Caenorhabditis elegans: one gene and its partners. The protein of the gene in region 1 interacts with the protein of each later gene in a pairwise test. Each region holds a gene or a part of one and is shown in the gene's direction. Other genes may lie near its edges. The genes, in order: kgb-1, glh-2, glh-4 and glh-3.

Region 1 (6,740 bases):
CAGTACACTAATTCGATTTGTGTGCATCTTTACAAAATTGTCTCCTTCATCCAAAAATTGGATTCTAGAAGTAAATTTCATAAAAACAGTATTCTATTATTTTTGTTACGAAAATATTTCACAATTCTCGGAAGAAAACGAGATGATTGTGGTTATTGGGTAAGTGTTCAAAGAATATACATAGAAGTTCCAAATTTAAAGGTGGAGTAGCGTCTGTAAGTTTTTTGCCATAAATGACAGAATAGAGACCCAATATACTAAATATAACTGTTAAAAAATGTAGAAAATGTATGAAATTTTTCTAATTTTTTAATGATTTTTTTCTTAATTTTACAAAAATTTAAAAAAAAGGACTGAATTAAATTTGAACTCCCGCGCAAATGAGTGACGTCATTTTCGAAACTTTTGCGTTTTCAGCCTATATTAATAGGTTTTTCTTCATTTTTCCTTTGTTTTATAATTTGAAATACAGTCTGTCAATTTTTCAGACTAAAAGAAAATGTATGATTAATTTTGAATAATTAAGCCAATTTCAGAGTTTCGGTAAGTTTCTTCGCAATTATCAAGTTTGAAAAATGTTTGAAAAATTGAAAAATTATGTTTCAAATTATAAAACTAATTGTAAGAATAAAGAAAAACCAATTAGTTTGGCCGTAAAACACAAAATGTCGAGAATGACGCCATTAATTTGTGCGAGAATTCAAATTTAAATCGGCCTTTTTGAAAAAATCATAAAAAATTTATTATTATTTTTTGATTTTTTAACAGTTATATTTGGTAAATTGGGACTGTATTCTGTCATTTATGGCAAAAAAACCACTACTTCACCTTATAATTTAAAATTATCCAACTCACTATCTCTGTGTTTCATTTTAGCATCGAGTTATCACTTCCGATGACTAACAAATGGGAAATCTAAGGAATAATGCAGAGATTGAAAAGAATTAGAGAAACAAACAGACAAAATCAAGTATTATTTAACAATTGTAAAGAACAACCAAAAAACCCCACAGGAAAGACCACACAGAATGTGGACCCACGACTTTGGGAGATTAGGCACCTACGAGATTTCATGGCCCAAGTTAATTGGGTAGCGCTTTGAGTTGTCATAAATGTTAATAATTGAGAAAAAGATATTTAAAACTTAAAACGTACATATTAAACTTATTTCTTATAGAATTTACTTTCAAAGCTTTTATTATAGGCGGTCGATTTGTTCTACGGCAACTCTATTCTCCAAAACAGAGTGGTGTCTCTTTTCTGTCTGATTCTCTACTTCTCTACACATTTTCAATCCTAGGTGTGTCTCTCTCTGAAGGATGAAATCTCTATTTCTCTGCATCTCCTATTTGGCTTCAGCCTATCGCTTCTCTTCCGCACACAAACATTCACTCAGTGACGTAACTTTTAATACCTACACTATTTCTCTCTTTCGCATTGTCAACTTATATATATATATATGTATATAGATCATTCCTGTACTATTTAATTTTTAATTATAACTTTTTAAAAAGGTTATTTATGATTTAAAAAAAACAAAATCTAAAGTGTCTTTAAAGTGTAAAAGTAAAAATTGGCAGGCTGGGTATACTGCCTTTTTTCTTCAAGTTTTCGAATCTAAGTAAAAATAAAAAATTTCCCCTGCTTTTTTAATACAATTTTAGTTTGAATTTTACTTGTTGAGAATAATAGACTTCAATTATCTCGATGCAGTATTATGTATTTCACTAATAATTAACAGCAAATACCTCAAAATTACCCCGAACTCGAACTATTGCTAGAATAAACCATTCGAGTAACCCGTGTATTTATTGTAGAGTTCGTGAGAAAAGGATTAAAGGATTAAAGGACGATCCGTTCTTCAAGCGCTATGCACTGCGGATCTGGGAGTCAGGTACACTGCCTGGTGGTGATCCCACTAAAAAAGTAATTAGAGTATTATAGAAAAAATACGATCGCCCAAAAATAAACAACGGCGCAACGACACTCCGCTGTTTCTGAGACCCGCCCACGATTTCATTTGCACTGCGGCCGACACATTTCAGTGCAAATGAAATCTTGGGCGGGGTTTAGAAACGGTGGAGTGTCATTGCGTCGTTGTTTATTTTTGTACGATCGTATTTTTTCTATAATAAAGGTTTAAAAAAAAGAAACACACTATTGGATGTTACATTCCAGTCAACTTGATACCTAAAATATTTAAATTTTCCATTGAAATTAGTGTTGACTTTTGTTTCCTAAATACGAACATCCTTTCAAAACCAAGCGCAAAAAGTGTAAGATCATTCACAACTGAAGTCAAATTTTTGAAGTGTGAACATTTTTTGCGTCATGCAAATATGAAATATGAGTTTATGAGTCGATTAAAAAACATAAAAACCCAAACAAAAACGCTGAAATTTCATTAAATGTTAAAAAATGACTTCTTTATTACAAATCCAAAGTTATGATTAAACATTTAAAGATTAGCTGCAAAGATTATTTATTAAACTACATATCTTTCTATTTTTAGTCTATTTTTTAAACATTGTCAGGTTTAGTTTGCACTTCAAAAAATGAAAACTGTATTTCACTAACAATATGTACATATATCCCCTCCCTCATTTTTTTTCACTCCAGAAATGGAAAGTCAATATTTGGAAAGAAAATAATTTTCCAAACTGTTAGAATCTCCGTTTTTAAGATTTATTGATTTCTACGTGGGTTGAAATGACTCAGTTTTGATGAAACTCAACAATTTTAAGGCATTTTTATCAGTTCCGGTTGGAAAGGAAAATCAGAAACATTTTTGCAAGTGATAAGAATTATGAAATTTTTATAGATTTTTTCAAACGTTTATTTGGAAATTGAAATTATACTTTTAAAAATTTAAGAAAAGCTGAAATTTAATGACTAACGTTTATATTTAATTTTTGAATTTTAAGTATTTCTCCCTGAAACTAATAACTTTTTAGGCACAATAAGATGGAAGTGGATCTGCCGGTACATAACGAGTATGATGCGTCTAGATTTCATCAAGTTACAATTAGGGTTTGTTACTAGATACTTTACCTCCATTCAAATTCATTTTCAGGACCCGATAGCCGGCGCGGACAGCACTTTCACTATTCCAACTCGTTATGTAAACCTTAGTTTTCTGAATGCCGGCGCCCAAGGAACTGTCGTGTGAGTTTTTACTAATTACATTAATATTTTATTGAAGGAAAAATAATAGGGCGAATTTTTTAACGCAGTAAACAAAAAATTTCAATAGACAAACAAATATTAACACTTCAAAGATGTTAATCAAAGATTTGATAGATTGCCAAATTTTCGAATAATTTTTACTTTTTCAAACATTTCACACTTTACTGCAAATTATAGCCCCAATAATGTTCAAATACCAAAAGATAAAATAAATTTTTTGAAAGAACTATGAATTTTAGTCATTTTAGAAACATATGGCTGGTTTCAGAGAATCCTTTCTCTGGTCGTACTCCATCTTTGAATGTCTCACTGCCTTTCAATTGTATATTTTTACACTTTAACTTTTCTTCGGTTTTGCGTAATTTCAAACACTGACACAATGATGACTTCCCGAAAAAAAACGGACCGCCCTATCAAAAAACTTTTAAAACAGGTAGAGGTCTCGAGATCATTGTTATTCGTCATTGCCCGCTGCTCCACCTCTAAGATTGAAAAAGCTTGAAAAAATCAATAATCAAGAAGATCTTCTAGAAGAATGAAAGTGACTGAAATTAAATTATCGCGCAAATGACTTCAAACAGAATTTCTAAGTTAAGTGAACAGCCATAATTTTTATTGATTACATTTAGAATGGCCGATGACCTAGTAACAACGCAACGTGTGGCAATCAAGAAGATGCAACAACCATTTGTGATGACAATGAGCGCAAAGCGAGCATATCGAGAGTTTATACTGCTAACGACTATCAAACACCCAAATGTAAGATTCAGTTGGAATCTAGAAAAAATGCTCCAAATTTCAGATAATCCGTCTACTAAACGCGTTTACACCGGACACTTCACTTTCAACGTTCCGAGAAGTATATCTAGTTATGGAATTAATGACACACAATTTGCACGAGGTTATACATCGATTAAGGTAAGAGACATGGTGGCTGATTTTTATGATTTTTTTTCAGTAATACCAATTTTTATAGTAATATCTAGTATACTAGACGTAATTTAAACTGTATATGATGGACTTGTTAGAGACTAATAGACGTAAAATATTATTTTTCTGTTATTGATTTTGAGAACAAAAGAATAAAAATAAAACAATAGGAAAAGCACGATATCTTAAAGAAGGAGTGGCGGATTCATTTTTGCTCTAATAAACTCAGAACGACTCCAAAATATCAACCTTTTTTGTCTCAATTTCACGTTTAATAAACATATTCAACAATAATAATAAGTTTATTGCTGACACTTTTCAACAAAAAAAACTTTTAAAAAAAGAAAGAAACAAGGGCAAAAGCTAGACTTTCAATTTTGCCGTCTTTCGCGTTTCCCAAGGTCGGAAATACATTTTTATCCAACCTTGAGTACCCACTTGGAAATGTGCCGAAACCATCATCAAAACACGCACAGTTAGCTACCAGAACACGCGTAAAAAAATAAAAAAAATATTCCAGCGTGTTTTGAAAATTTTTGGTCAAGATTTTAGTTAACTACCAAAAATCAGAATTTTTAAAAAAGTTTAGAACACTTGCACATTTGAGCTCCTATTCATGATTGTTCAATGATTCAATGATTGAATATTGAATATAAACACATAATTAGATTCTAAAAAAATTTTCTGAATTATTAGATTGGACCATAAAACATTATCATTCTTCGTCTACCAGAGTTTGTGCGCAATCAAGCATCTTCACAATTCGGGAGTCATTCATCGTGTACGTATCTACCACTATAGACAACATTCTGAAAAATTCAAAGTTTCAGGACTTAAAACCATCGAATATTGTCGTCAACGATCGATGTGTATTAAAAGTTTTAGACTTTGGATTGGCCCGGAAGAAGAATGTGGACACATCGATGAGAATGTCAGATTATGTGGTGACAAGATACTACAGAGCCCCCGAAGTTATATTAGGTCTTCCCTATTCGGAAAAAGGTTTGTTCGAAAAAAAAAAAAATTTTTGTAATTTTGGGCTGGACTTCCATCTGCGCTCCGGTGAGCCGCCTCAAACAGCCTCACGCCGTACGTATCCGCATGTAAAGTGCGCGTAAAACCCCAAACGTGTCGGCCGCTTCCAAACAACACTCTCAATTCATAATTGCAGTAGATATTTGGTCAGTCGGATGTATATTTGCTGAAATGATCAACCATACCGTACTTTTCCCTGGAAAAGATCGAATTGATCAATGGACTAAAATTTATAGTGTTTTGGGAACACCAGATGATCATTTCATTAGTCAATTGGGTCAGTCAGCTGCTATGTATGTTCGATCGTTGCCACGTCATCAGGCACGAGCATTCAGTGAAATCGTTCCTGATACCAATTTTCTGCCGGAGACTGAAAATCCAAGGGTCCATTTGACACGTGAGTCAGGCTATACAGGATTTTGAAAAATAAATCATATTTTCAGCACACGTGGCTCGTGATCTCCTGTTCAATATGTTGAAAATCAATCCTGAAGAAAGGTATTCAGTTGAAGATGCACTGAATCATCCATATGTTAAGTTGTGGTTTAAGGTACAACAATTTTAGCACTAAACAAAAACAATCAAATCATGCATCTCAAATCTTACAGGACGATGAGGTAAACGCCCCCGCATCAGAAAATCGATACGATCAGGAAATTGATTTTGCCGATAAGACACTTATTGAATGGAAAGAGCTAATTTTCAACGAAGTGCAACGCTATCAAGCCGACCACGACATTTTCACTGGATAATAAATAATAAAAAACCTAAAATTGTTTCTTTTTCTCTCAAAAATAATTGTGTTACTTTTTTCTTCAAAAATCTATCTTTCAGTTGTGTTCTGTCACTTAGTTGGCCATATTTTCTGGTGATTCTCTGCTTATTTTCTATATTGATTATAATCACTAAATGTTAATTATTTTGGAATACAGATTTTTTGGAACTGTTTTGTTTTAAGTATAAGAAATTGAACCTTAGCTCCACAAAATTTGCATCTCATTATAAAGTAGGGATTGTTTTTCGATTGTATTGTCAGGTTTAAATTCAAAATTCTAAATCAATAAATTAATTTTTTAGGGACCAGGTCCCCTATGAGGTCGCCACAGCGGCGCCCGCGCCGGCCTCACAGCGTCAATCACAGTGCATGTATCCGAATATATAGTGCGGCAGGGAACCCGATCGTGAAGTCCGCGCCTCACTTAGCTGGGAGACCTATAGGTTTTTTTTCTTCAAAACGATGCTTTAATTTTTGTTCTCAAAAACAAAATGAAGCCAAAATGGGAATCCAGAACGACCGGACATTAAATCACACAGATGGACAATGGTGGTCTTGAATAAGTACATTTATTTCACAAAAATTGAACATTCAGTAAAAGATGAGGTTTGAAGACTGAAAAGTGGGCTGGACAACAGAAAATCGACTTTTGGGTAGTAAAAGATTTTTGATATAAAGATGGGAAATAAAGTATATGGACATTTGGACAAAAAGAGAAACAGAGACGCCTTGAAATGTTTTCAAATGATTCTTTTAGTATTCTATTCTAGAATTAAGAAAAGCGGATGGAAAATATTTTTTTGGAATCTTGATA
Region 2 (5,758 bases), on another chromosome or scaffold:
GATTATTAAACATTTTCTTAAAAAATTTTCCGATTTTTCGTTTTTCAGGAAAATCGAAATTTTTTCGCTTTTCCGATATTTCGAAAAATATTTCATTTTTAGAGTTTATCTTCTTTTTAGAAGAAAATTATGTTTTCTTATGATTTTTCCCATCAACAAAACAATAATTTTTTGAAACTGATTTTTCTTTGTTAACTTTCTAAATTTTTTTATTTTTCAGGAAAATCGAACAATCGAAAATTGTTCATTTTTCATGATACCCTAAAAATATAAAGTTTGATCGATATAATCTATTTCAATCTTATGAAAATTTTTAAAATAAACTGACCAGAATCGGATGTTGCTTCGGTAGCTGAGAGGTTCCATTGTTCTTCCTCATCGACTTCATCATCACTATCTTCTTCAATCGTTGTTACTACCCATTGTTTTCCAACCAATTTTTCATTGCACTTGAAATTTTCAAGGGCTTTCATACTACTTTGATACATTTCCAATGCCGAATTATGCTCGTTAGTCATCAAATCCTCAGCAGGAGAAACACCATCCGAGAAGGAATACTTTCCAAAACCAACAGAGAATAAACTTTGATTTTCCATATCAAATCCAGAAGACTTGTAGTTTGATATTGGTCTAGAAATCTGGCTGCAGCGAGTTTCAGAGTTACAGCGAGCAAAATCATATTGTATCAGAGCCGTGAAGTACGTGAATTTCTTGTATGAAACCAGTTTTTGAAGCTGTTTGAGAATGAAAATATGTTCATCGCAAGGTTTTTCAGCATACTTTGAAGCGTCACGTGGGTTCAGAATGAGTTTTCCGTCCGGTAAGATCTCAATCAACGTTTCAGTGTTAAGCTCTGGTTGTGTGACATACTGCAATTTTTTAATTGAAGGCAAAATTTGATGTTCAAACAAATTTACGTTGAAAATCGCCGTCCGAATCGCGTATACTTCGTTAAAATGAACGTTGAATGACCGAAGGGATTGAAGAATACAAGCTAAAACGTCGTTGGCAGTATTCGTGATATGAACCCTTAAGAATATTGTTTAAATTTGGCCAAATTCAGAGTTATTACCATTGAATCAGAAGTTGAATAATCCATGATTTTTCTTCCATAGGCAACGGTTCTGCGACCATTGCAATCATTGATTGGCATGAAATGTGTGCCATATCGTCGTCCTTCATTGTATGGCTTCTCAGTGACTCGATAATTTTTTTCGCGAGGGGTTCGATTCCATCCTTGCTTTGATAATACTGAGTTATGTGGCTGAGAAGAACTCCTCCTCCTCGCGGACGAGGCAAATAGTCTTGCATTGAAAGTTCGTTGAGAGCATGAATTGCGTCCAGTACACTAATATTCATTTCTGAAAAAATTAATTAAATTGTAAATTAAATATGCCAAAAGATAAACGAACGTTTAAGTTTAAAAAGGTCTCCAGATTAATTAGGGAAACTATTTTCAGAAAGAAAAATTCTGAAGGTTCCACAAAGTATTACTGGTATGGCAAAAAGTGCGATGCAAGGATACTGAAATTGTATTCAGAAAATCCCAAATTGAGTTTTTAAAAGGCTCATACGAGCAGCATAGGACAAGGGTCTCGCCACGTTCGTCCTCTACAGTACTCCCGCGCGGCAAATTTCAAATCTTTTGCGCGCGAGTTTCTGAGTTTCCATTCATTTAAAATTTTTTGGTTTGCAAACGCCAAACTTGTACTTTTTCCTGGAAGTTCGAAGATGTCTGACGATTGGGATAATAATACTGCTGCAGGTTTTTATAAAATTTTAATGAAATATTTAATGCTGATTTATTGTAGCGAAAACCATCAGTTTTGGAAGCAATCCATCAGGGTTTGGCGGAGGATCGGGATTCGGTAGCGGTAACACTGGTGGTTTTGGAAGTGGAAATGCAGGCGGGACGGGATTTGGTAGTAGCAACAATGGTGGATCTGGATTCGGCGGTAATAACAACGTTGGACCCAGATTCGGCAATGGAAATGCTGGTGGAACTGGATTCGGCAGTGGAAATGCTGGTGGAACTGGATTCGGCAGTGGAAATGCTGGTGGAACTGGATTCGGCAGTGGAAATGCTGGTGGAACTGGGTTCGGCAGCGGAAATGCTGGTGGAACTGGATTCGGCGGTGGAAATGCTGGTGGAACTGGATTCGGCAGTGGAAATGCTGGTGGAACTGGATTGGGCAGTGGAAATGCTGGTGGAACTGGATTCGGCAGTGGAAATGCTGGTGGAACTGGATTCGGCAGTGGAAATGCTGGTGGAACTGGATTCGGCAGTGGAAAAGCTGGTGGAACTGGATTCGGCAGTGGAAAAGCTGGTGGAACTGGATTTGGCGGTAATAGCAACAGTGGATCTGGTTTTGGTAGCGGATTGACCAATGGATTTGGTAGTGGCAACAATCATGAATCTGGGTTTGGTGGAGGAAAATCAGGAGGTTTCGGTGGAGGCAACTCTGGTGGAAGTGGCTTCGGTTCAGGAGGTAACTCGAATGGATTCGGAAGTGGTGGTGGGGGACAAGATCGAGGCGAAAGGAATAATAGTATGTTTGCTACTTGAAATCTATATCTTCACGTTGCTTTTAGATTGTTTCAATTGCCAGCAGCCAGGACATCGATCGAATGACTGTCCAGAGCCGAAAAAGGAAAGGGAACCCAGAGGTTTTAGCTTAAAATGTTTTTAGACGTAATCTGTTTTATTTTTAGTGTGTTACAATTGCCAGCAGCCTGGTCACAACTCTCGCGATTGTCCAGAAGAGCGGAAACCGCGTGAAGGCCGAAATGGATTCACCGGTGGAAGCTCTGGTTTCGGAGGAGGAAATGGTGGTGGAACTGGATTCGACAGTGGATTAACTAACGGATTTGGTAGTGGTAACAATGGTGAATCTGGCTTCGGTTCGGGAGGTTTTGGTGGTAACTCGAATGGATTCGGAAGCGGCGGTGGGGGACAAGATCGAGGCGAAAGGAATAATAGTATGTTTGCTGCTTGAAATCTATCTCTTCACGTTGCTTATAGATTGTTTCAATTGTCAGCAGCCAGGACATCGATCGAATGACTGTCCAGAGCCGAAAAAGGAAAGGGAACCCAGAGGTTTTAGTTTAAAATAATTTTTAGACGTAATTTTTCATTTTTAGTGTGCTACAATTGTCAACAGCCCGGTCACAACTCTCGCGATTGTCCGGAAGAGCGGAAACCGCGTGAAGGCCGCAATGGATTCACCTCTGGTTTCGGAGGAGGAAATGATGGTGGATTCGGTGGCGGAAATGCTGAAGGCTTCGGTAATAACGAGGAACGTGGTCCGATGAAATGCTTCAACTGTAAAGGCGAGGGGCATCGCTCTGCAGAATGTCCGGAGCCACCACGTGGATGTTTCAATTGTGGCGAGCAAGGTCATCGCTCGAATGAGTGTCCCAATCCAGCCAAGCCAAGGGAAGGTGCTGAAGGAGAAGGACCGAAGGCGACATACGTTCCAGTCGAAGACAACATGGAAGAAGTTTTTAACATGCAGAAAATTTCGGAAGGTCTCATGTTCAACAAGTTTTTTGATGCTGAAGTTAAAATCACGTCTGATAAAAAACCCGTTGGAGTTAAGACTTGTAAGACGTTCTCCGAAGCTAATCTGGGCGAAACAATGAAGAAGAATGTCGCACATGCAGGCTACACTAAGACCACTCCAATTCAACAATATACTCTTCCACTTATTCATCAAGGACATGATATCATGGCTTGTGCTCAAACTGGTTCAGGAAAAACCGCTGCATTCCTTCTGCCAATCATGGCTCGTCTGATTGATGAAAATGATCTGAACACTGCCGGAGAAGGAGGTTGCTATCCCCGTTGCATCATCCTGACTCCGACTCGTGAACTCACTGATCAAATTTACAACGAGGGAAGAAAGTTTGCTTATCAAACAATGATGGAGATCAGACCAGTTTACGGAGGATTGGCAGTGGGTTATAATAAGGGTCAGATCGAAAAAGGAGCCACGATCATTGTCGGAACTGTCGGAAGAATCAAGCACTTCTGTGAAGAGGGTACCATCAAGCTTGACAAATGCCGCTTCTTTGTTCTTGACGAGGCTGATCGTATGATCGATGCTATGGGATTCGGAACTGACATCGATACAATTGTCAATTATGAGAGCATGCCGAAGAAAGAAAATCGTCAGACACTCATGTTCAGTGCTACTTTCCCCGATTCTGTACAGGAAGCAGCTCGAAATCATCTGAAGGAAGGCTACATAATGCTTGCAATCGACAAAATTGGGGCCGCCAACAAGTGCGTCCTTCAGGAGTTTGAAAAGTGCGATAGAAGCGAAAAGAAGGACAAACTTCTGGAAATTCTAGGAATTGATATCGACAGTTACACGACAGAAAAAAGTGTGATTCTGTTTTTTTTATCGTTTATATATATCCCAATTTTCAGATTCTGAAGTGTACACTAAGAAGACTATCGTTTTTGTCTCGCAAAGAGCAATGGCTGATACGTTGGCCTCCATTTTATCATCGGCTCAAGTACCAGCAATCACGGTTGGTACAATAGTTTAACCATTATTAATTTTGTTTTCCAATTTAGATCCACGGTGCCCGTGAGCAGAGAGAGCGTTCAGAGGCTTTGAGACAATTCCGAAATGGATCGAAACCTGTTCTTATTGCTACTGCGGTTGCCGAACGTGGACTTGATATCAAAGGAGTGGATCATGTCATCAACTATGACATGCCAGACAACATTGATGACTACATTCATCGTATTGGAAGGTTAAATCAGATATTTCTAATGTTCATGTGCTAGCCATGTTTTTTTTAGAACGGGTCGAGTTGGAAACGCTGGAAGAGCCACCAGTTTCATCTCTGAAGATTGTAATCTTCTGTCCGAACTTGTTCGCGTTCTCTCTGACGCGGATCAACTGGTTCCAGAGTGGATGCAAGGAGCTTCAGGGGGAAATTTCGGAGCTAGTTTTGGATTCGAAAGCAGCGTTCCAACTCAAAAGCAAGATGAAGATTGCTGGTAGATGTATCTGCATATCCTTCAAATGTTGTCCATATTGTATCAGTAAATTATAATGCCCCCTTTTTATATATTCTCCTTATCATGTAAATGTTCTATTGATTTTTTGCTGGTGTAAAACGTTTTTATAGTAAATCCTCTCCACAGTGAATTTGTTAAATTGTATCAAAACAAGACATTGATTAAATTTGTTCGAGACTTGTGGATTGTAAAATATTTTGCAGAAAATGGCAATATTCATTTAGAAACATTACTTCCATAATAGGAAAAACTATTTATGAGTTTTCATGTGCCTATGCAAGTTCCCACTCTGTGTGAATTTCATCATACAAATTGAGCAAACATAAGGTTTATGTCCAGTATGGGTTCTCAGATGTTTTGTAAGAGTTGAGCTGTCGGTGAATGCCTTCTCACATTGAGCACATGGATACGGTCTCTCTCCAGTGTGTGTTCTGAAATAATGAAAAATAGTCTTGCAATATGTTTCTACTATTCGAGAAAAAATGTAATTTTTTTTCTTATGGTAACCTGCAATTTATATATTTTTTATTTGCCGTTATTGACATTATTATAAGAAATTGGAGGATATCACAAATATCGTAAATTCTCCAAAATTTTGACACTTCACTTTAAAGACAAATGCGGTTTTTCCGAGTGTGTCTCGCCACGATCTCAGTCATAATGGTCGCTACAGGTGCCAAACTTTAGGCATTTGTTATATTTGATGCAGAAAACCAAGCACAT
Region 3 (6,222 bases), on another chromosome or scaffold:
TTACCATAGTAAAACTTTTTTTTTAATTTTTAAATAATTTTTTTGACAGTCAGAAAAGTGGCAATTACTCAGTTTTTGCCACTTTTTTTTTGAATTTGTCGATCAAAAAAATTGTTCTTCTTTTGAATTTTATGGCCCACTCATTTTTTTTTAGATATTAATTATCATAGCCACTTTTTGAAGAAAAAAATCGCTATCGTTTTTTCAAAAAGTCACAAAAACGCAGAAATTGCCACTTTTTGACTGTTAATCAAAATTTTCAGTTTGAATTTTTTGCTAGCTCGACACTAATTTTTGTTCAAATTTTACAGAAATTCTCATATTTTCCAGACTTCTCCCGAACTTCACAACGCACAGAATTTTCTCAAAATCTCCGAAAATTTCTAGTTGTTATGTATACTTTTTTACATTTTCATAATTTTTCCAGCAGTGTTATGAAGTTTGCAGAAAATGAATAGTTCAAAAGTTTTCTACACTTTCCAAACGCGTCTTAACTATTTTCAGTAGCTTTTAGAACTATTCCGACGTTTTCAGAGTTTTCAACCACTACCAACGCCACTGTCCGGAACTAATTGTAAGGAATTAAAGTCTGGAAAAAATGGGTTTGAAAATGACTGAAACCGCTTGATTGTGAACCAAAATTACAAAAAACATCTAGAAAGTGAGCAAAACTATGGGAGCTTTCAGGTAAATTTTTCAAGTACGGAATTCTCTGAAAGCTCTGATCTGTAAATCATTAATTTCAAACAAAAACCGATTATTCCAAAATCATTTCAATTATGCAACTCGAACGGATGCATAAAAAAAAGAAAAAAAGCCAACACAGGTGATTCGCCGTTTGTAAAATACTTATGGCCTCCAATATTTTAGATGCATTTTGCAAATCGCGAATTTCTCTGCGGGACCATTAACATTTTAGCAGTATTTTGGTAATCGCGACTCTCGGTGATCGCAATTTGCACAATATTTGCGATTTTGCAAGTATTTTACTATATCGCTGGTGCCTCTCGTAGAAGCGCGCGAACTACATTTCATAAGTAATTTAAAAACCGCGAATCACCTGTGAACTCCCGCCAACCGCCACGCCGTGACCTTCCCACCGCTACATTTACAACATCATGAACACGTGAAATGCACCGCCCAACTTGTAACCAGTTCTGAATTTTTTTTGCTTGTTTTTTTTTTCAAAAAAGTTCGAATTGTCGATTTTCTCAGGAGTTTCATGAATTTTAGTAAAATTCTGTGCCTGAAAGTTTCTGGATTACCGTAAATTATCGTAGTTTGATGTGCAAGCAGATACAATATCTCCTACCGTATCCATTTTCATTTTGGTCTTCTGGCGCGAAATTTTGATTATCATTTTATTTTAGGCCTTTGACTGAAACTCTTGTTTTTTTGCAATTTTATATTTGAAATTCAGCGATTTTTTATCATTATTAAGAAAAAAAATAGTTTTGAGATGCATTTTCAACTTTTCTCGTTGAAACGACAACTTATCCTCTAAACTCGTGCTATTTTTCTGTTCGTTCTGCAAAAATTTTGATTTTCAGGTATAATCAAACACGACTCTGTATCGTATCAACGATGAGGTATCCATTTAACAAACTAGATCATTTGCAAATTCTTATTTTTTTTAGTTTTTCCGATGACGGATGGGGCGCGGAGGCCGAAGTGAAAGTCGCGGAAGATGTTCCGGAAAAGAACGTTCCGCCGCCAGTGGAACCACCAAGAGCTCCCCAAAGTACTGCTATCAAGACGGAGCCGGAAAGAAACTCCGATGAGCCATCAGCTGGATTTGGAATTGATCCGATTACCACTAGCAAGACTTTCGGAAGTCAAACAACACCAAAAACTGAATTCGGTGGAGCACCATCGTTGTCTGGGTTCGGTGGAAACGCTGCTGCTGCTGCTGCAAACAAGACTTCGTTCGACCAGCAAGGTAACGGATTTGGTGGAGCAGCGAAACATGGATTCGGTGGAGTCGGAGGAGCGCCGTCTTCATTTGGTGCTAACGTTATTCCTGTCAACAAGCCATCTCTCGGGCATAAAACAACTGGATTTGGCGGAGAACCGAAACATGTGTCTGGTGGAGCGTTCTCGTCTGCAAATAATTTTGATCAACAAGATAAAGGATTCGGCGGGGCAGCAAGTTCAGGATTCGGAAACGGATCTATGCTGACAAACCAGAAAGTTGGATTAGAGAATCAAACCACTGGAGTCGGTGCAAGTGAAGTTCCTACGAGCAAGCCGTCTTCTTTCGGACAACAACCAGCAGTGGTTTCAGGTAAGGATATTATGAGAAGTCTTGTTTTTATCATCTCTTTTTTTTAAAGAAATGTCTCTTGACGTTCGTATTTTCAGGATTTGGAGGTGCTGCAAAAATGGGATTCGGTGGATCATCCTCGTCTGGATTCGGTGGTCAGAAAGCGGGCGCCACGGAGAGCTCTGGATTTCCAACCAAAGAAACATCTACATCCCAGCCAGGATTCGGAGGAGATTCCAGTACAGGATTCGGAAGTGGTTTAAAAGCTGGATTCGGTGGTCATGGAGCAGGCGCTGCGGAGAACTCTGGATTACCAACGGAAACAACCGGTTTCGGAGGAAAACTCCCCTCGGCTGGATTTGGAGCTTCTTCATCAAATGAATCTGCTTTTGGCCAACAATCTAAGGGTTTTGGTGGAGCAACGAAAAACGGATTCGGAGGAGATTCCAGTTCATCGTTTGGAAGTGGTTCTAAAGCTGGATTCGGTGGAACATCCTCGTCTGGAATCGGTGGTCAAAAACCGGGCGCCACGGAGAGCTCTGGATTTCCAACCAAAGAAACATCTACATCTGGAGGAACTTTTGGCTCTGGTTTCGGAGGAAAGCCGACCTCGACTGGATTTGGTGCTCCATCAACAACAGATTCTTCTTCCGGTCAACAAACTGCAGGATTTGGTGGCGCATCGAAGCCAGGATTCGGTGGAGATTCCAGTACAGGATTCGGAAGCGGTTTAAAAGCTGGATTCGGTGGTCATAGAGCAAGCACTGCAGAGAACTCGGGATTACCAACGGAAACAACCGGTTTCGGAGGAAAACTCCCCCCGGCTGGATTTGGAGCTTCTTCATCAAATGAATCTGCTTTTGGCCAACAATCTAAGGGATTTGGTGGAGCAACGAAAAACGGATTCGGAGGAGATTCGAGTAACAGTTTTGGAAAGCGAGACTCTGGCTTTGGCGGTCCACAAGATCAAGGATTTGGCGACACTGATGCACCTTCAAAATCCGGCCTTGGAAGCTTCAATACAGGAGGTGGAGCTGTCAAATCAGCTTTCGGAGCCGCTGGCTTTGGTTCCAGTTCAAACTTCGGCAATGGAAACACGTTTGGGGAGCCCAGTCAGTTTTTTTTATCCCATGACTAATCTGAAATCAAATTTTATAGGCGACAATCAGCGTGGCAATTGGGATGGCGGAGAGCGACCAAGAGGATGCCATAATTGCGGCGAAGAAGGTCATATTTCGAAAGAATGTGATAAGCCAAAAGTCCCACGTTTTCCTTGCCGAAATTGTGAGCAACTTGGTCACTTTGCTTCCGACTGTGATCAGCCTAGAGTTCCTCGTGGTCCCTGCCGCAACTGTGGAATAGAAGGTCATTTTGCTGTCGATTGTGATCAACCAAAAGTGCCTCGAGGCCCCTGCCGCAACTGTGGACAAGAAGGCCATTTCGCAAAAGATTGTCAGAACGAGAGAGTGCGCATGGAGCCAACAGAGCCATGTCGTCGTTGCGCTGAAGAAGGCCATTGGGGTTACGAGTGTCCGACCAGACCAAAAGATTGTAAGTTAGCTCGATACCTTATGTATAAAATATATAATTTATTTCAGTGCAAGGAAACTTCCTCGAATCGTATGATTTTGTCTTCACGCCAGACGATAAAATGTTTGAAGATGCAGTCAATAACGATGATAAAATCGACTTCGATCAGAAGGTTGTGGCATCCACTGGAAAGGTTGAAATTCCTGACATGGCATCATTCGATGGTTTCAAAATTCTCCCACAAGACCTCCATGATAACTTGAAGCGCATGAAGATGAACAGACCAACACCGATTCAAAGAGCGTCGTTCTTCCCGATCATGCATGGCAACGATGTTGTTGCATGTGCACACACTGGAAGTGGAAAAACACGTAAGGAAGATATCTTCCGTTCCATTTTTAAAAATTGTATTTCAGTTGCTTTCTTGATACCATTCGTCATCAAGCTGATGGAAGAATTTGAGAAAGATCGAGACGTCACTGATGAGAAACCTTCTCCAAGGTAAGAAATTCCGATGAAAAAATAATCACTGTATCTTTATTTTTAGACTTCTCATTGTTGCTCCCACTCGTGAATTGGTCAACCAAACGTTCACTACTGCTCGCCAGCTGACATATGAAACGGGATTGAAGTGTGGATTGGCCTTCGGAGGCTACTCTCGCAATGCCAACGTGCAACATCTGCGTAGTTTCAGTCAGCTCAACATTTTGGTTGCCACTATGGGAAGACTGCAGGATTTCGTGAATGCCGGAGAAGTATCTCTTTCAAAAATGAAATACATCGTACTGGATGAAGCTGATCGTATGGTCGACAGCAACGACTTTGGAGAGGAAGTGAGCAAGATTATCGGATCGCCGGGGGAGCGTACTCAGCAAACTGTGCTGTTTAGGTATTGGCTAGTATTTTCAAGGAATTTTTCAAAATAAAGTGTTTTCAGTGCATCCTTCTCTGAAGATCTTCAATCCGACGACCTGCCAAAGTTCGTCAAAGAGGGTTACACTATGCTGCAAGTCGACAAGTTCGGAACAGCTAATGAAAAGATCGACCAGAAGATTCTTCCTGTGCCTCGAACCGAGAAACGAGACGCGATTTACAAGCTTCTCGGAATTGATGAAAACACTGTGACTCTCTTGCCGGACGCACCCATCGAGAAACAAAAGACGCTGATCTTCGTGAACTCGGTGAAGTTCTGTGACACTCTTGCGGCTCTCATCTCGAGCGCTGGCGTTAGCACTATTTCGGTAATTAAAATTTAGAATTATATGAGCAAAAACAATTTTTCATTTTCAGATGCATAGCTACCAAAATCAAGAACAGCGTGATCGTACATTGGATGATTTCCGTCGTGGTAAATACCAGTGTATGGTAGCTTCAAATGTGTGTGCTCGTGGATTGAATATTGCCGGGCTCGATCATGTCGTCAACTACGATATGCCGGATAAAAATGGCTTTGATGAGTATGTCAACCGTATCGGACGTACTGGAAGAGCTGGATTCACCGGAACGTCGACTGCATTCGTTGACGTGGAGAACGACACGGACATTATTCCATGCCTCGTCAGTATCTTGAACGAAGCCAAGAAAGAGGTTCCAGAGTGGCTCACCGAAGGAGCTGGACATCAGGAAGAAGGTGGCGACGATTGGAATGAGCAGGAACAGGAGTGGTGAAGCACCTATCACAGTTTTATAATTTAATGTTTAAATGTATTTCGTTGCTCTATGACGATTTTTATTCCTGGTATTTGTTTTGTTAGGCCCCTGCGATTCATTCGCCAATTTTTATAAGCCTGAAGTTACAGTGAATAAGTTTATGTTAATTTCAATGTTTTAGTTATAGTTTTATCATTTTTCTCCCGTTCTTTCAGTAAATATATCTGAACTTTTTTTATTGTAATGAACTATTGACTTTATTAGAAGAGTTTCATTTAATGAATGTTACACAAAATCATAAGACAATTATTTGACTAATGCAATATTGACAGATATGAGTCATAAAATATGAATAAACGCAGAACATTCTCTCGACTCCCAATGTATCAATCATTTTTCTTTTAATTCTATTGAGTTAACAATCTTTTTTAGGCAAAATCCGAAATAAACCATGTCTTTGGTGCCAGCTTCATTCTATCAAAATGTAGATATTATTCGAGATGTGAAGTTTAATATGAAGCCAACGTGTTCGATTTGTATGGAAGAATTCGGTAATTTTTGTTTTCTTCTATCTGAGAATATTTCCCATTTTCAGATGCAAATTCTCATATTCCGAAGGTTCTCATTTGTGGCCACTCGTTTTTGTATAAAAAGATTAGTAAAAAACCAGAAAGAATCAAGGAAAACCACCAAAAATCATGAATTTAAGCCGACGCTGTAAAATCATTCATACAAATAAATCCTGACAAGTACATCGTAAATCGACAAACACCAGAGCC
Region 4 (4,980 bases), on another chromosome or scaffold:
CTTGGAATGAAGTCCGCTAGTTTTGCTACTTGCATGGTTATTCTAAACTTTTATTTTTTCAGGATTACGACAACCTGCAAATCGGGAAAGTTATTACAGACGATAACAGAAGAAACTTTGTTCTTGCCACAGACAAAAAGATTACTACAAAAGCTCCATTTCAATGGGCACTTCTTGATCATATTGGTAGATTTAACTCTATTTTATTTGATGATCAAATGATCATTTTTCAGCATCTGGAAGCTTTGGTTCTGTACATCGTGCAATGGATATTGATTCTCATCGTGTCATTGCAGCAAAAGTCATGCGAATTCAACGCGAAAACCATAAAGCAATCGAATCGGAAATCAACATTTTCCGTCAATTAATTCATGAGAATCTTGTCAAATATTATGGTGTTCAAGTTGAAGACAGTGACGTCATCATATTCATGGAATATTGCTCACAGGGTACACTTGAACGAATTTGTCACGGAAAAATGGATTTGAAAATGGTTCGACAATATACGAATAGCTTGTTGCGGGCTGTACAGTATCTTCACTCTCATAAAATCATTCATCGTGATATAAAGCCAGCGAACATATTCCTCGATAAGTGTACCGTACTCAAATTAGGAGATTTCGGATGTTCTTCGCGACTTGTCGAGTCAAGTACAGTATACGGAGAGTTTCAAACAACTGCCGGAACTCCTCAATTCATGGCACCAGAAATTTATTCATATGGGGAAAAGGATGAAACAACTGGAAGCTATAGTGGTTACGGTAGAAGTGTTGACATTTGGGCACTTGGAGCTACCGTAGTCAATATGATGACTGGAAAAGTTCCATTCGAAGGACAAACTCGTCATCAAATAGCCTTCGCGGTATGTTTATTCTAGACACATGTAGATAGTTGAGTCTAAAGATAATAATTGTTGCCATCAATAAGTAAACTTTCAGCTTTGCTTCCGCAAGCAAAAACCAACTTATCCTGATATTGCCGACAAAAGACCAGATGTTAAACGATTCTTCGATAATTGCTTTGAATTTCTTCCAAATGATCGGCCTACAGCTGCGGAACTTCTTCAAACTACGTTTGCAAATGTTAATATAACGGTAATTATCAAGAATAAATAGAAAAATTAGTAAATTTGCAAGTTTCAGGACGAAAATCATATCCCGGACTATCAATCACAATCTTCAAAGGACAAATCGTCACCAAGCTCGTTTTTTCTAGTCTAGACGTTTTTGTATACTGTATTTTTTGTTAATAATAAAAATAATCTACCCGTAATCTCATCTTCGTGATAAAAATGTACCTCTACCTAACTGAAATTCACTTTGTATTTTTGTATTAAAGTTAATAAGAATAATTTAAATTGCCAATAAATACTCATTTTACAAATATTTCCAACGACAACAGGAGGTTTAGTTTGTTAGATTTGAATCGACATAAGACCAAAATTTCTGAATGTGAAAAGAGCCGGCTACTGTAAAATATGTTATGTGCAATTTTTCGTCAATCGTGCTGTTCTCTGTGCAACCCCGGAACAAATTTGAAATTTCATTCTTTTAAACAATTTTGCAAATCTTAAGTGTTTATTTTTATTTGGTGTTTAAAAACTAATTTATATGCTTATTTATCGTTTCTTGGAAACAAAACAACTTTACGCGCAAAATATTCTTTGCAGGTAAACGAAATCTTCCGATACTGGCTGGGGGATTAACTCTGGTTGTCAAAATAGAGTTAAACGGCACGGAATAATGGATAAAAGCCCAACAAAGACAAGTATCCGGACCAAATTCGCTAGACACCAGCCAATTTCTGATGTAGATACTACAGAACAATGTAGGTTTTCTGAATATCACTACCAATTCCCAACATTTATTTTTCAGCGAGTTCATGCATTAAAAAAGATGATCGAGGTCTCAGCAGTTTTGGAGTTCAATCATCAGTATTTTCTCGTCGTAGCTGTAGGATGTCTGAACTCGAAGCGAAACCAACAATAATTTCCGAAGATCAACGTATAGCCGTGCGCAGCGAGATTGGGGGCTCTTTTTCTGGCTTCGATGACAAAGTTGATAATGTTTTCCACTCAAATAATAATTTGCATGGATCACCATCTACAACGGAATTGGAATGTCCTGGGATAATGAATCCGAGATTTCTCGTGGGCAGATCTCTAAATTCTAGATCACGAGCAGTAACTCGTGGAAGCAAGAGAACCTCGAATGTCAAAGAAAATGAAGGTAAGTTTGGCAGGAATTTACTATCTGGTAAAAGTGTGGTCTTTGTATGAAGAATTATTTGAAATTAAGTACCGAATACAGATAATAGACAATTTCTCAAACTTTTTTCAGGGAGCATCCACCGTTCTGATGATCAAGTATCAACTGAAAACTGTTCGGCAAAAGATGAGGAACGTGACAGAGATTCCGGTGGTGTTTCAAGCTATGGAAACAAAAGAAGCGATGAATTCTGCGGTACCTCTCCAATCCTTGAAGCAAAAGGTTTTGGAATCAGCAATACATGTTTCAATTGCAAGAAGTATGGACATCGTGCAACAGAATGCTCCGCCCCACAACGTGAATGTGCTAATTGTGGTGATCCGAATCATCGTGCAAATGAGTGCGCAAGCTGGTCGAAAAACGGAGTTCAAGAGCCGACAAAGGTCACCTATGTGCCAGTCGTGGACAAGATGGAGGAGGTATTTAGCATGTTGAAGATTAACGCTGGAGATTTCTTTGACAAGTTCTTTGACGCTAGCGTTCAACTTGTGTCACGTGGACAGCCGGTCACCATTCAACCATGTAAAAGTTTTTCCGATTCCGATATTCCTCAAAGTATGAGAAGAAACGTGGAGAGAGCAGGTTATACCCGAACAACTCCGATTCAACAATATACACTTCCACTTGTTGCTGATGGCAAAGATATCCTTGCTTGTGCTCAGACTGGATCGGGCAAAACTGCAGCATTTCTTTTGCCGATTATGTCTCGTCTAATTTTGGAAAAGGATTTGAATTATGGAGCAGAAGGAGGTTGCTATCCACGATGCATTATTCTTACACCAACTCGAGAGCTTGCTGATCAAATTTACAACGAGGGCAGAAAGTTTTCCTATCAATCTGTTATGGAAATCAAACCAGTCTATGGCGGAATAAATGTAGGATACAATAAGAGCCAGATTATGAAAGGATGTACTATCATTGTTGGAACAATTGGACGTGTTAAACATTTTTGTGAAGATGGCGCTATAAAACTCGATAAGTGTCGATACCTGGTCCTAGATGAAGCAGATCGAATGATTGATTCAATGGGATTCGGACCAGAAATTGAGCAAATTATCAACTATAAGAATATGCCCAAAAATGATAAACGACAAACAATGATGTTCAGTGCCACATTTCCCAGCAGCGTCCAAGAAGCTGCTCGTAAATTGTTGCGTGAAGACTACACAATGATTACAATCGATAAAATTGGAGCCGCCAACAAATGTGTCATTCAAGAGTTCGAGTTGTGCGATAGAACATCAAAAGTGGATAAGCTTTTGAAGCTTCTCGGTATCGATATTGACACCTACACCACCGAGAAAAGTTTGTTTTACTTTCACTTTTCAATATCGTCATATATGTTTTTAGATTCTGATGTCTTTGTGAAGAAAACGATTGTATTCGTTGCTCAACAAAAAATGGCAGACACTCTGGCCAGTATCATGTCGGCAGCCCAAGTTCCAGCGATTACAGTTCGTTTGTATATTAGTAGTGTATTTCCATTCTTCTTTTTTATAGATTCACGGTGCTCGCGAGCAAAAAGAACGGTCGGCTGCTTTGAAATTGTTCCGAAGTGGAGCTAAGCCAGTGCTCATCGCCACGGCTGTTGTTGAGCGTGGTCTTGACATTAAAGGTGTAGATCATGTTATTAACTACGACATGCCAAATAACATTGATGATTATATCCATCGAATTGGCCGGTTGGTTATTTCCTGAAATGTTTTATTTTTTGTAATTACCGTTTTTCAGAACTGGACGAGTCGGAAACTCGGGAAGAGCAACTAGCTTCATATCATTGGCAGACGATGTTCAAATTCTGCCGCAGTTGGTGCGAACTCTAGCTGACGCCGAACAAGTTGTGCCAAGCTGGATGAAGGAAGCTGCAGGAGGGACCTCCAATCCTAATAAATTCGAAAAATCTATTGATACCGAGGAACCGGAGGAAGCTTGGTGAAGCAATGTATTCTAAATTTAATTTCTGCAAAATATCAATCTTGACGTATTATTTTTCTGATAATGTTCAGCCCCCTTTTATTCCCCAAAATATCTGATCGTCTTGGCATTTCAACTTTAAATTTCCCGAATTTTTAAAATATATTTTTTGTTGTTAGGTTTATATGTTCATTTTTGTTTTCAATAGTTGGAATGTTTATAAATTCAGATCAGTATTCAATCAATGTCTCGTAAATCTGATAAATTTTTGTTTTAATTAAAGCTTTCAAAATCTTTTCAGATGGACTCACTATCAGTTTTTTTTAACTTCTCAGTTGTCTTGGCACGATGCCCACTCGATAATAACTGGTCATCTGTTTATTCGTGACTCATAAATTTGATAATAGTGAACGCTGAGAACGTGTTTTTTAATGAATTTTAATATTTAAATTCAATCAATTCAAATAATTAAATCTCATTCATCTTATAATATTAAAATCTTATGTATATAAAAATTAAATTAAGTCAATTTGAATTTTACGAAAGAATTACTGTAGCACATGTTCTGTGTAACATCGCGTCGTTCATCATGTTTTGTGTGCATACACTAAGCAAATTCAAATTTCAAAATGCTTTAATTTCGAAAATCCCAAAATTTTAAAATCAGTTTTTAGAAATGTTTTGTCAGTTTTTTATTCTGTCCGTGTTGTTTTAGGGAAAATTCTTTCTTCCAATTTGAGTTTGAAAATGTTTTCGTTAAAAACAAGTTTGAAGAACCTGTAGTTAATAACTTTCGCCT

The links.
Region 2: the proteins of kgb-1 (region 1) and glh-2 interact in a two-hybrid assay, tested with the Caenorhabditis elegans proteins (one study listed by BioGRID).
Region 3: the proteins of kgb-1 (region 1) and glh-4 interact in a two-hybrid assay, tested with the Caenorhabditis elegans proteins (one study listed by BioGRID).
Region 4: the proteins of kgb-1 (region 1) and glh-3 interact in a two-hybrid assay, tested with the Caenorhabditis elegans proteins (one study listed by BioGRID).

What each region holds. Positions count from the first base shown.
Region 1 is NC_003282.8:405,111-411,850, reverse strand, and holds kgb-1 (GLH-binding kinase 1), read left to right. Parts: upstream 1-1,817; 5' UTR 1,818-1,894; intron 1,895-1,978; exon of another isoform or gene 1,979-2,089; intron 2,090-2,954; 5' UTR 2,955-2,964; coding exon 2,965-3,030; intron 3,031-3,073; coding exon 3,074-3,165; intron 3,166-3,815; coding exon 3,816-3,945; intron 3,946-3,988; coding exon 3,989-4,104; intron 4,105-4,812; coding exon 4,813-4,897; intron 4,898-4,946; coding exon 4,947-5,118; intron 5,119-5,287; coding exon 5,288-5,548; intron 5,549-5,594; coding exon 5,595-5,701; intron 5,702-5,759; coding exon 5,760-5,903; 3' UTR 5,904-6,230; downstream 6,231-6,740. UniProt on the Caenorhabditis elegans protein: Mitogen-activated protein kinase which is an essential component of the JNK pathway composed of mlk-1, mek-1 and kgb-1.
Region 2 is NC_003279.8:6,512,290-6,518,047, forward strand, and holds glh-2 (ATP-dependent RNA helicase glh-2), read left to right. Parts: upstream 1-1,638; 5' UTR 1,639-1,731; coding exon 1,732-1,765; intron 1,766-1,811; coding exon 1,812-2,549; intron 2,550-2,592; coding exon 2,593-2,667; intron 2,668-2,712; coding exon 2,713-2,979; intron 2,980-3,022; coding exon 3,023-3,097; intron 3,098-3,141; coding exon 3,142-4,386; intron 4,387-4,432; coding exon 4,433-4,536; intron 4,537-4,582; coding exon 4,583-4,764; intron 4,765-4,813; coding exon 4,814-5,018; 3' UTR 5,019-5,218; downstream 5,219-5,758. Other genes in the region: C55B7.11 (Protein OSCP1), read right to left, coding at 329-869, 918-1,029, 1,073-1,359; che-1 (C2H2-type domain-containing protein), read right to left, coding at 5,286-5,466. UniProt on the Caenorhabditis elegans protein: Probable ATP-binding RNA helicase.
Region 3 is NC_003279.8:3,725,477-3,731,698, forward strand, and holds glh-4 (ATP-dependent RNA helicase glh-4), read left to right. Parts: upstream 1-1,550; 5' UTR 1,551-1,584; coding exon 1,585-1,589; intron 1,590-1,637; coding exon 1,638-2,284; intron 2,285-2,361; coding exon 2,362-3,375; intron 3,376-3,421; coding exon 3,422-3,814; intron 3,815-3,861; coding exon 3,862-4,164; intron 4,165-4,209; coding exon 4,210-4,294; intron 4,295-4,340; coding exon 4,341-4,682; intron 4,683-4,730; coding exon 4,731-5,034; intron 5,035-5,083; coding exon 5,084-5,461; 3' UTR 5,462-5,703; downstream 5,704-6,222. Other genes in the region: T12F5.2 (RING-type domain-containing protein), read left to right, coding at 5,895-5,994. UniProt on the Caenorhabditis elegans protein: Probable ATP-binding RNA helicase. May act redundantly with the P-granule component glh-1 to regulate the formation of the granular structure of P-granules in embryos. May protect somatic cells from excessive apoptosis during normal development.
Region 4 is NC_003279.8:5,791,804-5,796,783, reverse strand, and holds glh-3 (ATP-dependent RNA helicase glh-3), read left to right. Parts: upstream 1-1,669; 5' UTR 1,670-1,742; coding exon 1,743-1,827; intron 1,828-1,874; coding exon 1,875-2,228; intron 2,229-2,339; coding exon 2,340-3,572; intron 3,573-3,617; coding exon 3,618-3,721; intron 3,722-3,767; coding exon 3,768-3,949; intron 3,950-3,998; coding exon 3,999-4,203; 3' UTR 4,204-4,463; downstream 4,464-4,980. Other genes in the region: mtk-1 (Protein kinase domain-containing protein), read left to right, coding at 63-186, 234-862, 939-1,094, 1,137-1,220. UniProt on the Caenorhabditis elegans protein: Probable ATP-binding RNA helicase.